2 linked regions of the Ovis aries genome follow. The protein of the gene in region 2 purifies or fractionates together with the protein of the main gene of each other region. This does not show direct contact. Links are inferred from orthologs where the notes say so. Each region holds a gene or a part of one and is shown on either strand. Other genes may lie near its edges.

What was found. Proteins that work in one complex are often made in the same cells at the same time.
Region 1: the proteins of HSPA12B (region 2) and EEF2K purify together in Homo sapiens (affinity purification with mass spectrometry; 3 studies listed by BioGRID and IntAct, with this or other methods). This does not show direct contact. The link is inferred for Ovis aries from reciprocal best matches to the Homo sapiens genes HSPA12B and EEF2K.

Annotation. Positions count from the first base shown.
Region 1 is NC_056077.1:20,495,937-20,501,712, reverse strand, and holds part of EEF2K (eukaryotic elongation factor 2 kinase), read right to left. Parts: intron 3,882-5,776; coding exon 3,757-3,881; intron 1-3,756. UniProt on the Homo sapiens protein: Threonine kinase that regulates protein synthesis by controlling the rate of peptide chain elongation.
Region 2 is NC_056066.1:51,179,631-51,186,044, forward strand, and holds the start of HSPA12B (heat shock 70 kDa protein 12B), read right to left. Parts: upstream 4,098-6,414; 5' UTR 4,036-4,097; intron 3,566-4,035; exon of another isoform or gene 3,428-3,565; intron 1-3,427.

The DNA of each region.
Region 1 (5,776 bases), on a different chromosome or scaffold from region 2:
CTGTCATTCACATTGTAGATCTATATATTTATTACAACAGCGGTCAAGTAGTTTTCCCTAACAAAAGTGGTATAGAACAATAAGTTTCCAACAGATGGAAGTCGAGCATCTTGAGGAAGGAGAACATTTTTCTAGTCTGCATAAAATCACCCTGCAGGAATTCCCTGGCAGTCCCAGTTAGGACTTGGTGCTTTCACTGCCATGGCCTGGGTTCAATCTCTGGTTGGGGAACTAAGATCCCACAAGCTGCACAGCGTGGCCAAAACACAACAAAACAAAAAACAAAACACACAAAAAACTACCCTATGGGTTTGCATTAGCAGTGGGTGGTGTCCCAACCAATTTGCCCTATAACTCATGCAGGAGAAGAGGTGGGTGGGGTACCCTTCACCAAAGCCCCCAGAACCTTCGACAGCAGTCATTCAGCTCTTTCTTTCTCTGCCTCTGCTGGTCAGCTCTGGCTTTCCTCCAGAAAATGGAGGGCTTATTCCAGAACAGCTGACTTCCCCCTTCTGACTCTGCCCTTCACTCTCAATTATTTCTCCTACGGCCACACAGTGGTCTAACCCCCAAAGGCAGACACAGGTTCCAACCCAATCTGAGCAAAACAAAATAAAGAGTAAACAGGGCAGTGGGCTCTTTTCCTTGGGGTGTACTAATGCACATTACCAAACACGTGAGTAACTATAGGACATCAGGAAAGAGCAAAGAGAGACGCAGATAAGAAGGTCTACGTGCCCCATGAAGTGTTCCTGGAGCTACAGCTGTGTATATATATACACACATATATGGACCTGGCTTCACCCTCCAGTCTTAGCTCCTGTCAGCCATGCCAGACTCGCTGGGTCACTTTCCCCTCCTCGGACTTGCCAGCTCCTGTCCGCCCTTTGGCTTTTGCACCTGCTGCTCCCTTTGCTTAGAACATCCTTCCTTGAACTCTTCCCATACCTGGCTCCTCATCTCTCCAACCTCAGCTCAGCTTCTTCAGAGACGCTGGCCCCAAATACTCGATTTCTTACCATTACCTCAAACTGTAATTCTCCTGTTTACTTATTCACTTGTTTATTACGTTTTCCCCAGGTAGAATGTAAGGCTCTAGGAGGGCAGGGACCGTGTCTGTTTTATTCACGGCTGCATTCCCAGGGCCTGGCAAACAGCACAGACTCTATAAATGTCTGCTGAAGTGGCTGGCTGGGATGGCGTCAGGAGATAATCTTGACTCCATTCTGTTTTATAAAGAAGGGAAGTTGTTTGAAAATTATTTGTGGCACATCCAGAAGACTGGGGTTTGAACAGTGGATTGGCAATCACTAAACTAGCTGATCTCAATTCTTTCAGCTTTGGCCCTCTCTGGTCTTGAAAGGCAAGGCAGAACTGCTTCCAACACATTAAATGTAAAAGAAGGGAAAAGGCCTAGTCTCTCCCAATGCACCCCACCCAACTCCACACCCCGTGGTTAGTATGTCCACCCTGCCTTGGAATTTCCAATGACTTTTCCTTCTGCTATGAGATAGTAACTTCTGAGGGGGTCAAAACCCCTTAAATGCAAATAGCTGACTCTCATTTATGCTCCTTGAATGGAAGAGGCTGGGGCTGCTTGGAATGAGGAAGAAGAGTGAGAGAATGACTTTGGAAGATGTTACGGAAGAAAATCTTGATTGATTTAACCACACAAATATTAAAACCCAGCAAGTTCCCAGACTCAATAGTCAGTGGGCACTGTGTGGCACCTCTTCTCCCTGCTGCCCCAAATCTATGCAAGCCATCTCTGAAAAAAGGTTTTAAGTCAACTCATTTACCAAAGAGCTAACAGCCTTAAAAAAAATTTTTTTTTACAGGGAATTCCCTGATGGTTCAATGGTCGGACTTTATGCTTCCACTGCAAAGGGCATGGGTTTGATCCCTGATTGGGGAACTAAGATCCCACATTCCACAAGGCCAAAATATATATATGTGCTGTGCATAGTCCTCAGTTGTGTCCAACTCTTTGTGACCCTATGGACTGTAGCCCTTCAGGCTCCTCTTTCCCTGGGGATTCTCCAGGCAAGAATACTAGAGTGGATTCCCGTGCCCTTCTCCAGAGGATATTCCAGACCCAGGGACTGAACCCTGGTCTCTTGCATTGCAGGCAGATTCCTTACCATTTGAGCTACAGGGAAGTCTCAATGGGCATCACAGATGTTGGCATTTGATTTTGGACAAAATCATTTCCTGTTTTGTTTACCTCCCCTCCATGCCAGTGACTCTGAGCCCCTAAGAAGCAGGCTAATGTACAGTCCACTGGAGAAGAGATGAGAAGACCTAAGTTTTGGCCCTGCTACTTACTGGCTACTTAACTGCAGACAAGCCCCTTCACTTCTTAGAACCACACATCCATAAAATAAGCCCCTAAATGCTGCCCAGTCTGTGTCAAAGAGATGTGTTGATTCTTTCATTCAAACAACTACTGAGCCAGGCCCTGTGCTAAGCACTGGCACTGAAGAGGTGCAGGAAACCCAATTCTAGTTCTCAGTGAAATAAAATCACAGATATGAAGGTGTACCCAAATATAAGGAGCATTACAGTTACATAGCAGGGAGCTGACACATGTTTGCAGGGTATGTAACTCAGACATTTTAGACCCTGAGAGCTTGACATGACAGAGCCCCAGTCTCGACTTTGCTTCTAAACTCAGTGAGGGAGATGAAAACACGACCCACATAGGAGGCAAGTGCCACGCTGCCCCAATCCTGGAGGTTTGGACACTGTCCCTTCCAGAAAGCCATGGGTGCCTGAGAAGAAACGGGGAAGCTGAGATCCACTGGGAGCCAGTGAGCAACAGGTCCTACTAAGAACTGAATTCCCTCAACCATTCTCTGCTCCTAGACTTCTGGGACCTCCCACCAGCCAAGCCAAAGACCCAAGATGAAGCTGCCATTCTCCTCTCTTGCCACCGGAGAGTCCAATCCTGGCATCTCTGCCAGAGGCATAAGGGAAAAGCTGTTAACACCTGTAGGGTTGTAGCTGTCAGAGATTTCAAAAAAGTGAGAAAAAAAAAAAAAGAGTCAAAGTGTTAGTTGCTCAGTCTTGTCTCTTTGAGACCCCATGGACTGCAGTCCGCCAGGCTTCTCTGTCCATGGAATTCTCCAGGCAAGGATACTGGAGTGGGTAGCCATTCCCTTCTCCAGGGGATTTTCCTGACCCAGGGACCGAACCTGGGTCTCCTGCATTGCAGGCAGATTCTTTACCATCTGAGCCACCAGGGAAGCCCAAATCACTCTGGAAAACTCATACCAGGACTGAACTCCTCCCTGGAGTTCAGTCCCCCTTCCCTCCACTCCCTCTTAGAAGTGAAAACACTAAAAACAAAAATAGGAAGAGTCAATTAAAATCACCCCTAATCCCATCATCTAGAGAAAACTGGCCCTGGACCTGATGCTACATATCCCTTCAGACTCTTTCTCAGACAAATCTTTACATAAAATGGCTAAGACGCCATTTCTCTCTCTCTTTATGTGCCAGTGAAATTACAGGCATCATCTCATTTAACCCTCACGCAAGCACACATTACCGCCCTAGGGTGCAGGTGCTATGGGTATTCTGATTTGACACGATGAAGAAACTGAGGTCAGGGAGGTAGGCCTACTTGCCCACGGTCACAGGGCTGGTACTCGGGGGAGGCACACCTGGAACCCGGGTCTGTTCTGATTCCAGAGGGGAGGCTCCCACCTGCACCCCAGGTTCCCACCAGCTCCACCTGAGCCACGGCCACAGTACCTGTCAGGGCTGAGGTTCTGGCCAGTGTCAAAGGCTCGCGCCACCAGAATCATGCACTGCCTGTCACCAGCTTCAGCTGCCTTCAGTAAGTAATCAAATCCTTTGGTTTTGTTCGCTTCTGTCTCCTGTTAATACAAACCAAAGAGGGGGAGAGAGAAAAGTGAGCTGTGAGGGGCTGCCAGAATCTCATACGTCAATCTTTTCTCTGTTTCTTGAATTGAGAGCTTCAGGTTGGGGCTGCTGTGGAACTGCACATTGTGAGAAAGAGAACAGGGCTTACCCTGCTGCAAAGAGCTCTCTGGCGGTTCCCATCAGGCAGGGAGAAATGGAAGCTTAGTCCACTCCCACCTCTATCTGATGTGATTCTGCCAGAGACCACATCATCTATCCACTTCCAACAGGGGCGCCTGGCTTCCAATTCTTTTAAATTTTTTAGCAACTTTATCGAGATATAATTCATATAACAACTCATTCATTTAAAGTGTACAACCCTCGTAGCTCAGACGGTAGCTTTACCTGCCTACAATGCAGAAGACCCGGGTTCAATCCTGGGGTCAGGAAGATCCTCTGGAGAAGGAAATGGCACCCCACTCCAGTACTCTTGCCTGGAAAATCCCATGGACGGAGGAGCATGGTAGGCTACAGTCCATGGGGTCGCAAAGAGTTGGACACTACTGAGCGATGTCACTCACTTACAGATTGTGCAACCACCACCATAATCAATTTCAGAATATTTTCATTAACTCAAAAAGAAATCAAAACACCATACCCTTTAACTAGTACCTCCCAATTGTTCCCCAACCACCCCTACCCAGCCCTGGACAACCACTAATCTACATTCTGTTTCTAGCGATTTCCCTATTCTGGGCATTTTATATAAATGCAATCATATAACAACTAGTCTTTTGTGCCTGGCTCTTTTCACTTGGCATAAGGTTTTCAAAGTTCATTTCATACAGCTTCTATCAGTGTTTCATTCTTTCTTATGGCCAAAAAACATTCCATTGTATGAAGATACCACGATTTGTTAATCTGTTCATAATTCATCAGGTGATGGGCATTTGGCTTGCTTTCATTTTATAGCTATTCTCTATGAACACTGTGTACAAACTTTTGTGTGGATGTATGTATCTATTTTGGGGGTTTATATACCCAGGAGTGGGCTTCCTGGTGGCTCAGTTGGTAAATAATCTGCCTGCAATGTGGGAGATCTGGGTTCAATCCCTGGGCTGGGAAGATCCCCTGGAGGAGGGTACGGCAACCCACTCCAGTATTCTTGCCTGGAGAATCTCTGTGGACAGAGGAGCCTGGCAGGCTACAGTCCGTGGGGTCGCAAAGAGTGGAACATGACTAAGCAACTAAGCACACACACCAAGGAGTGGGGAAGCCCAGGTGGCACAGAAGTAAAGAATCTGCCTGCCAATGTAGGAGGCACAAGGGATGCAGGTTTGATCGGGAAGATCCCCTGGGGTAGTCAAATGCTTGGCATCTGACTCCAGTATTCTTGCCTAGAAAATGCCATGAACAGAGAAGCCTGGCAGGTTACAGACCAGAGGGTTGCAAAGAGTTGGACACAACTGAGCAAGTGAGCATGCATACACAGACCTAGGAGTAGGACTTCCGGGTCACATATGACTCTATGTTTAGCCTTTTGAGGAGCTGACCGTTTCCCACAGTGGCTACAAATACAAAGCTCTCGTATCAGTCTATAAGGCCCTTCTCAACCTTCAGGCTTCAGGAAGTGTGGCAGGGACTACCAGTTGTCCCCCATATCCATTGAAAGTGAAAGTGAAGTCGCTCAGTCGTGTCCGACTCTTTGGGACCCCATGGACTATAGCCCATCAGGCTCATCCGTCCATGGGATTTTCCAGGCAAGAGTGCTGGAGTGGATTGCCATTTCCTTCTCCAGGGGATCTTCCTGACCCAGGAATTGAACTCAGGTCTCCTGCATTGCAGGCAGATGCTTTACCATCTGAGCCACCAGGGAAGTCCCTTATCCCCTGCCATATTTTTGCTGGCA
Region 2 (6,414 bases):
CCACCTGGCTGCATGGAAGTATGGACTGCAGCAGGACAACATGAAACAGGGGCCAACAGTGCTCCAGGCAACAGATGCTGACTGCGTATCTTGAGACATAAGTGCACACATTTACGTTAGAAGTTAAAATCAACAAGCCTGACAGAAGTTGGCTGGATTGGAATTGGGAGATTAGGAAGAAGGTGTTCTTCTTAGACTGACTGACCCAAGCAAGGAGATGGATGGTCAGATGGAGAATCCTGGAGCAGTGCAAGCTGGCAGGGGGAAAGGGGCAGTGTTCCGGGTGCAGTTTTTGAAACTGCTGAGAAAACAGACCAAGGAGTCAGGTGACATATGACCTAGAGGTCAGGGAGAATTCCAAGGTGGAGATTTGTGTTTGGTGTCATTGTCACAGGAAGTTTGGTGGAGAGTAGCGTGGGGGAAGGGAAGAGAGGAGAAGCTCTGAATAAAGGTTGACAGGAGGAAGGTTGGCTGGCCAGGGAGACAGGGATGCCTGCTATGGTTTCATGAAGATCTCGATAAGAGAAGGCCGCGAAGCTAGATCCTTCAGAGATTTTTAGATGAAACTGGAAACACCAGATTTAATGTTTTAAAGGCCCAGGGCATTTTGGTGGAATGAAGGAATGGGGTAGGAGTCTGGTAGGCAAGGAGGGAGCAGAGGATGAGAGAACAGAGCTAGCACTTCCCGCTAGTGCAGCTGAGGTCAGGAGGTGATGTGCATCTTACCTGGAAGAAAATAAAGCTTGAGGAGGGGAGGACAGGATTTTGTTTTCTAAGATGAGAGGAACTTGAGCTTCTGTCCGCCAGCTCCCAAGAGCTGATTCTGTGCATCTCTTCTCAATTTTGCATTTATTGACATCACATTTGATAGTTTGAAATCAGCCGTGGTGATTACACCACACAAGCTGGCAAACTGCAAATCAGGTTTTTCTCCCTCTTGGGGAGCAGACTGAAAAACATTTACCAACAAAGACTGGATCAAGGCCACAGGAGAGATGATGGCAGCCGTACTTATAAGTCGTTTCAATTCATCAGCAAAAACATTGAACACTTCTTCCAGCCAGGTTCTACAGCTAAGTGCTGGGGAAATACTGCTCAATGAATGGATTTTCTCAACCAAGGATATTGTATTTGGAGCAGAAACAATCTAGAATAACCAAGAAAAAGACTCAGGGGTTGTCATTCTAAGTTGATTCCTTGTCCAAACCATTGTCTATAATTACCCCAGCTCTTATCTCTGAGCCTGTGATACACTGAGTGCTCTGATACTCAGGGCTGACAAGGGCCTATTAGGCACCTTAAGGACACCTGGCTGGAGTGCATCCTGTTGCCTCTCTGCGCCTCAGTGCCCTTTCCTGTAAAACAGATCATGCAGGTGCTTGTGAGGATCAAGTCCAAGGATGGAAGGTGGTTGGTAAAAAGGCAGATGTGAGCGGTGTTCTTTCCCTTCATGATATGGATTCTGAAGTTTTTCTTGTCAGAATTTTTGGTCTTATTGAAACTTTTATTCTAGTCATTCTGAGTTCTTTATAGAAGGAGGGAGGCCCTGAATCAATTTGTGTTAAAAAAGGAGGATCCTGCTGATTCTCTGAGAGATGGAGTTAGAAGCAGGTGGCAGCCACACAAGCATGCATACATGCCCCATATTTCTTTGGGACATCCTTACCATGCGTACACACCCGTTTACCAGAAACATGTAGGGAGAATGCTGATCATGGGACTCAGGACAACCTCCACTCCCAAAAGCTACATCTGGGCAGGGTCTGCAGCTGGAAATGGGGGGAGGTAGAACCCTGCCCCAGGGGTCCACTAATTTCAGACTGGTGATGCTTATGGGTTTGAGAATAATTGAATGGGCCAGTTTGGCTTACACAGAAAGTAACCATTTCCTGGCTACAAGAGCAGGCTAAACCCTGGCCCCAGCCTGACCCCTGCCCTACCCACAGACACTTAATCCCACCTCCGGTCTGTCCCTTAACCCCACCCATGGACTGACCCATAGCCCTTAGCCTCATATTGACCTCTGATCTTCAGCTTTACCCTGACCCAACAGGCCTGACTGGGGACTAGGACAGGGTGTGGCTGAGGAGGGAGTTGAAACCAGAGATTCCCAACCCACAGTGTTCCCCAGACTACAAAAGCCCAGGACTTTCTGTCCAATGGAGAGAAATCTCCAACGATCTTTTCCTCAGTTGGGCGTGATGAGGCTGGGTCCTTGTGTCCCTTCCCATCCCCCACCAGAGCACTTGGACATGTGGTGCTGCTGGTGTTGCTGGGCTCCACACATACCCATCTTCTGCCCATGAAGGCAAAGAGCCCACCCAACTTTACAGCTCACCTCCATACCCCCACAGGCCTTTTCCCTGCACCCTGCCTCTTCTATCCCCTGCTCTCTCTCATCATCCTGCCATTCAGCAAACAAAGAGAAGCCACGGGCATTTTTCCCAAACCAGAGACTGAGCCAACCTGGGCCCAAGGGACAGATCAGAAATGGCACCCAAAGGGCTGCCCCCATCTGTCTCTGGAGAGGCGCCCTCAAGGTGAGGGACCAGAGGGAGGCTGTGGGGTGAGAAAGCTGCCTTCTCCTGGGCTGGGGCAGGGAGTGACAGAAAAGGCCTCCTGCATCCCCTCCCTGTCCTCGCTTTTCTTTCCATACATCCTGCCCCACCCCCACGGGTCCCCATCAAGGGAGCAGCCAGCTCACAAACAACCTCTGTCCCACAGAGCCTAGGGCCTAAGCCCCTCCCACCCTCTCGAGAGGTCCCTCATCACCTCTCTTACCTTCTGGGGATCCAGGGCTGCCTTCACTCTCGCAGGGAGTCCATATTTTAGAGCTTCCTCCCTCCCAGTCCCTCTCTCCCATACGAGCTAGCTTTGCCTCCTGGCTCCACAGCCCCCACAGGGAGCCAGACCCCACTCCACCTGGATCCCCACGCTGGCCTCACAGAGAGAAACCAGAGGTCCCTGTTCATGAGGCCAGCCCACAGTCTGGCACTGCAGCACCCCAGCCACTCTTGAACTTCTGAGCCCACAGGCCCTAGGAACTCCCCCAGCAGGCACCCCCAAAGTACACACATATTCAACCCCAGGGTCTCCACCTTCTGGCCTAAGCACCGCGTCCCTCCACAAACTTGCTCCCCTGGAGCAGCCCCCAGCCCTACAGCAGACGCCCAGACACAGAAGTCTCTCGAGCCCCACCCTCACCAGTGTAGGGTCCCAAAGCTCGGATGGGAGCCCTCAGTCGCTGCCCCAGTTGCCTTCCTGAACCCCAGAGCCCTGCTGGAGACAGGGGCTTGCAGCTCTGTGCCAGTCCCGTTCCCGAGGGTCAGGAGTTTGTGGTGGGGTCTCAGCCGCCAGCCCGCGATGAAACCGCAAATCTTGGCGCCTTTCTCTCTAGGAGCCCAGCAGCGCCCTGCCCAGGACTCACCTCTGCCCTCCCGACAGCTCGACCTCTGTGCAGACGCCTGGAAGCTGGGCCCGCAGCCGGTGGGGTGGCCGTGCCCTGCCGCGGCGGCCACAGCCCTCGACGTGCGTCCAGCCCCGGCCCCGCTCTTCGCCCTGCAACGCCCGACCCCTCTCCCTTCCCCTCCCCCTCCCCCAGGCCGGATGGCCGCGCCGCCGCGCCGCCGGGTGGGCCAGCGCTCCAGCCCAGATGTGCGAGGCCGGGGCGGGGCCGGCAGCGCGGGCCTCCACCGAGGGGCCCCGCCCGGCTCCAGTCCACAGCCCCTCCCCGCGCCCCTCCTGCGCCTCCCACTTCCCAGCCACCCGGGGGGCCTTGAGGGAAGAAGGTTGAGGAGGCGAGGTAGAGGGTAGAAGAGAGGAATTTCAGAACCCCCCTAGGCCTCCTGCAGCCGGCTGCGGACGGGCCCTCTGCTCACCTCAAGGCCACCGTGAGCCAGCTAGAAAGCCCACCTGCCTAGAGGGAGGGCCCTGCCCCATACCCTCAGAGCCCCTTCACCCAGACACCTACCCCCGCACCACATCCCCACCGAGATCCCTAGCTTGGTCTCCAAGGATCAGAGAAAAGAAGCCGACCTGAGGATGAGCACAGGCCTTCCAGCCCAGACCGGGCCCTAGGTCTTTCCCTGCTGAAGTCTGGGGCAGGGAGGGAAGCGTTCTCACAATCTGGGTCCGCCCTCCTAGCAAAGGGAGCACTCAGAACTCATTCTGCTTCGACAAGGAGCACATGGCCCCTTTCCTGTGAGGGCTGGTGGCCTTCTTTCTAAGCTAGCCTTCTGTCCTAGCCCATGCTTTCGTGAGGGTTTGGGGACCTGGCCTCCAAACAGAAGATTGAAAGAGTGGAGATCTGGTTGCTAGGCCCTTCTAAGGCAGCTAACTTCCCATGCCCTACCCCCCACACCTCCTGGTTCTGGTAGGACCTGGGCCTGACCCATTTCCTTCTGCCCAGTGTGTCCCCACAGAGGCTTAGGCTGGCGTGGGTGGAGTAGGGCCAAGAGTTGCTTCTTAGCTTGTCTCTCTGTGCTAGGGGCGCTGGCCTCTTGTCTGTTCCCTTAGTCCCCTCCTCAAAGAAGGCTTCCATAGTTCTTTAGGTATCAGTTGCCACCACCCACCCCAAACCTTGACATGGCCTATGTTCCCTCCCTGGAATATTCTTTCCTCCTCTCCGTCCATCTGAAAGGCTCCTCAGCTAAGGTATCATCTCTTCCAAACTTCTGGCCCTATTGTCAGGGCCACTGCTCTAGAGGGCTCCCTGCAGTGAGGCTGGGGGTGAGGGGTATACAGCACCAGTTTTTGATGTTAGCACTGGGCCAGTAAGCCAGCAAGGTATTCAATCAGCAGCCTCCACTGGCTGCTCCAGATGTGTAAGAGTGTGTGTATCTGTTGGTGTGTCTCTGTGTGTGTGTCTGTGTGTATGAGTGTGTCTTTGTGTGTCTGTGAGTGTGTATATATATATGTGTGTGTCCATATGTCTCTTGGGATGTCTGTGTGACTGTGTCTGTGCCTGTGTGTCTGTATGTATTATATATGGGCATGTCTGGTGTCTTACGTCTTTTTGTGTATGTATTTGTCATATTTGTCTGTTTGTGAGTGTGTGACAAGTATGTGATGGGGGCTGGCAGGCCTTCATCTCATTGCAGAGGCTGAGAAAAGCCAGGGAGTGTTGAAGTGTGGCTGTGCATTAGGGGGAAGGGGCACAGGGTCTAGCCCCTTAAACACACCTGCTTCGTGTTTGTTTTTTTTTTCCTCTGCTCTAGGTATTCCTCCACCCTCACCCCCAGCTTCACAGGCTGGCTCATTCCTAAGGGCTATGGCAGCAGGCTTTGAGCAGGAATGGAGAATCGTGGGTGGGGGGTCGCTAGCTCCTGGTGCCCTTCTGCTTAGCAGTCTTCTGTTCCCCCCTATTTTAGGCCCCTCAGGTGTTACAGTCACCCTTGGGCAGCTTCCAGTCAGACACAAGAGAAGGACGGCAAACAGTCCCAGTGAATCCTTGCCTACTGGGAGATTCAATTCAATTGCCACCAGAAGATTTGAACCAAGATAGGAATCGAGAAGGCAGTAGCACCCCACTCCAGTACTCTTGCCTGGACAATCCCATGGACGGAGGAGCCTGGTAGGCTGCAGTCCATGGGGTCGCTAAGAGTCGGGCACGACTGAGCGACTTCCCTTTCACTTTTCACTTTCATGCATTGGAGAAGGAAATGGCAACTCACTCCAGTATTCTTGCCTGGAGAATCCCAGGGACAGAGGAGCCTAGTGGGCTGCTGTCTATAGGGTCGCACAGAGTCGGACACGACTGAAGTGACTTAGCAGCAGCAGCAGCAGGCATCGATGAGGGTCCCACAGAGCCCCCAAGGGACCTCTCTGAGCCCTTGCATTCCCTCCTCTGCCCTCCAGTGCCGTGGAGATGCACCCAGTGACCTCACTGGCTTCCTGCTTCTCCCTGGTTGGGGAAGAGGGGGGAAGGATCCACTTAGGAGCAGCCTCTCTCCAGGCCTTGCCTCCCTCCTCTGGCCTGCACTCAGGATCTCCCTCTCTCCATTCTGTTCCCGGCCCTGCTCCTCTAGTTCATCTCTTTCTTGCAACTGGAGGAGACTTTCAAAAGTGCAAATCTGATTCCACTGCCTCACCATTCCAACACCATCCCTTACCTACAGGAGAAGAGCCAGTGATCCAAGGCTTGGACTGCCGTTGGCTGACCTCTCGAGCTCCCTTTCCAGCCCTAAAGTTCAACCCCATCTGCTGCCCTTCAAGCCCAGCTTGACTTCTCTGCTTCCAAACCTGGGCCAGGCCCCAGCCTGCTGTGCTCAGCAGGCAGCATTCTTCCTCCCTTGGGCTCTTTGGGAAGAACTGGCCCCTGGGAAACTTTTGTGGGTCATGTGTCTGCTCAAAGAGCCCCCAGCCGTGGCCACACTGATCTCAGGTGGCCTTGGCCTGCAATGGCTTGGAACACGG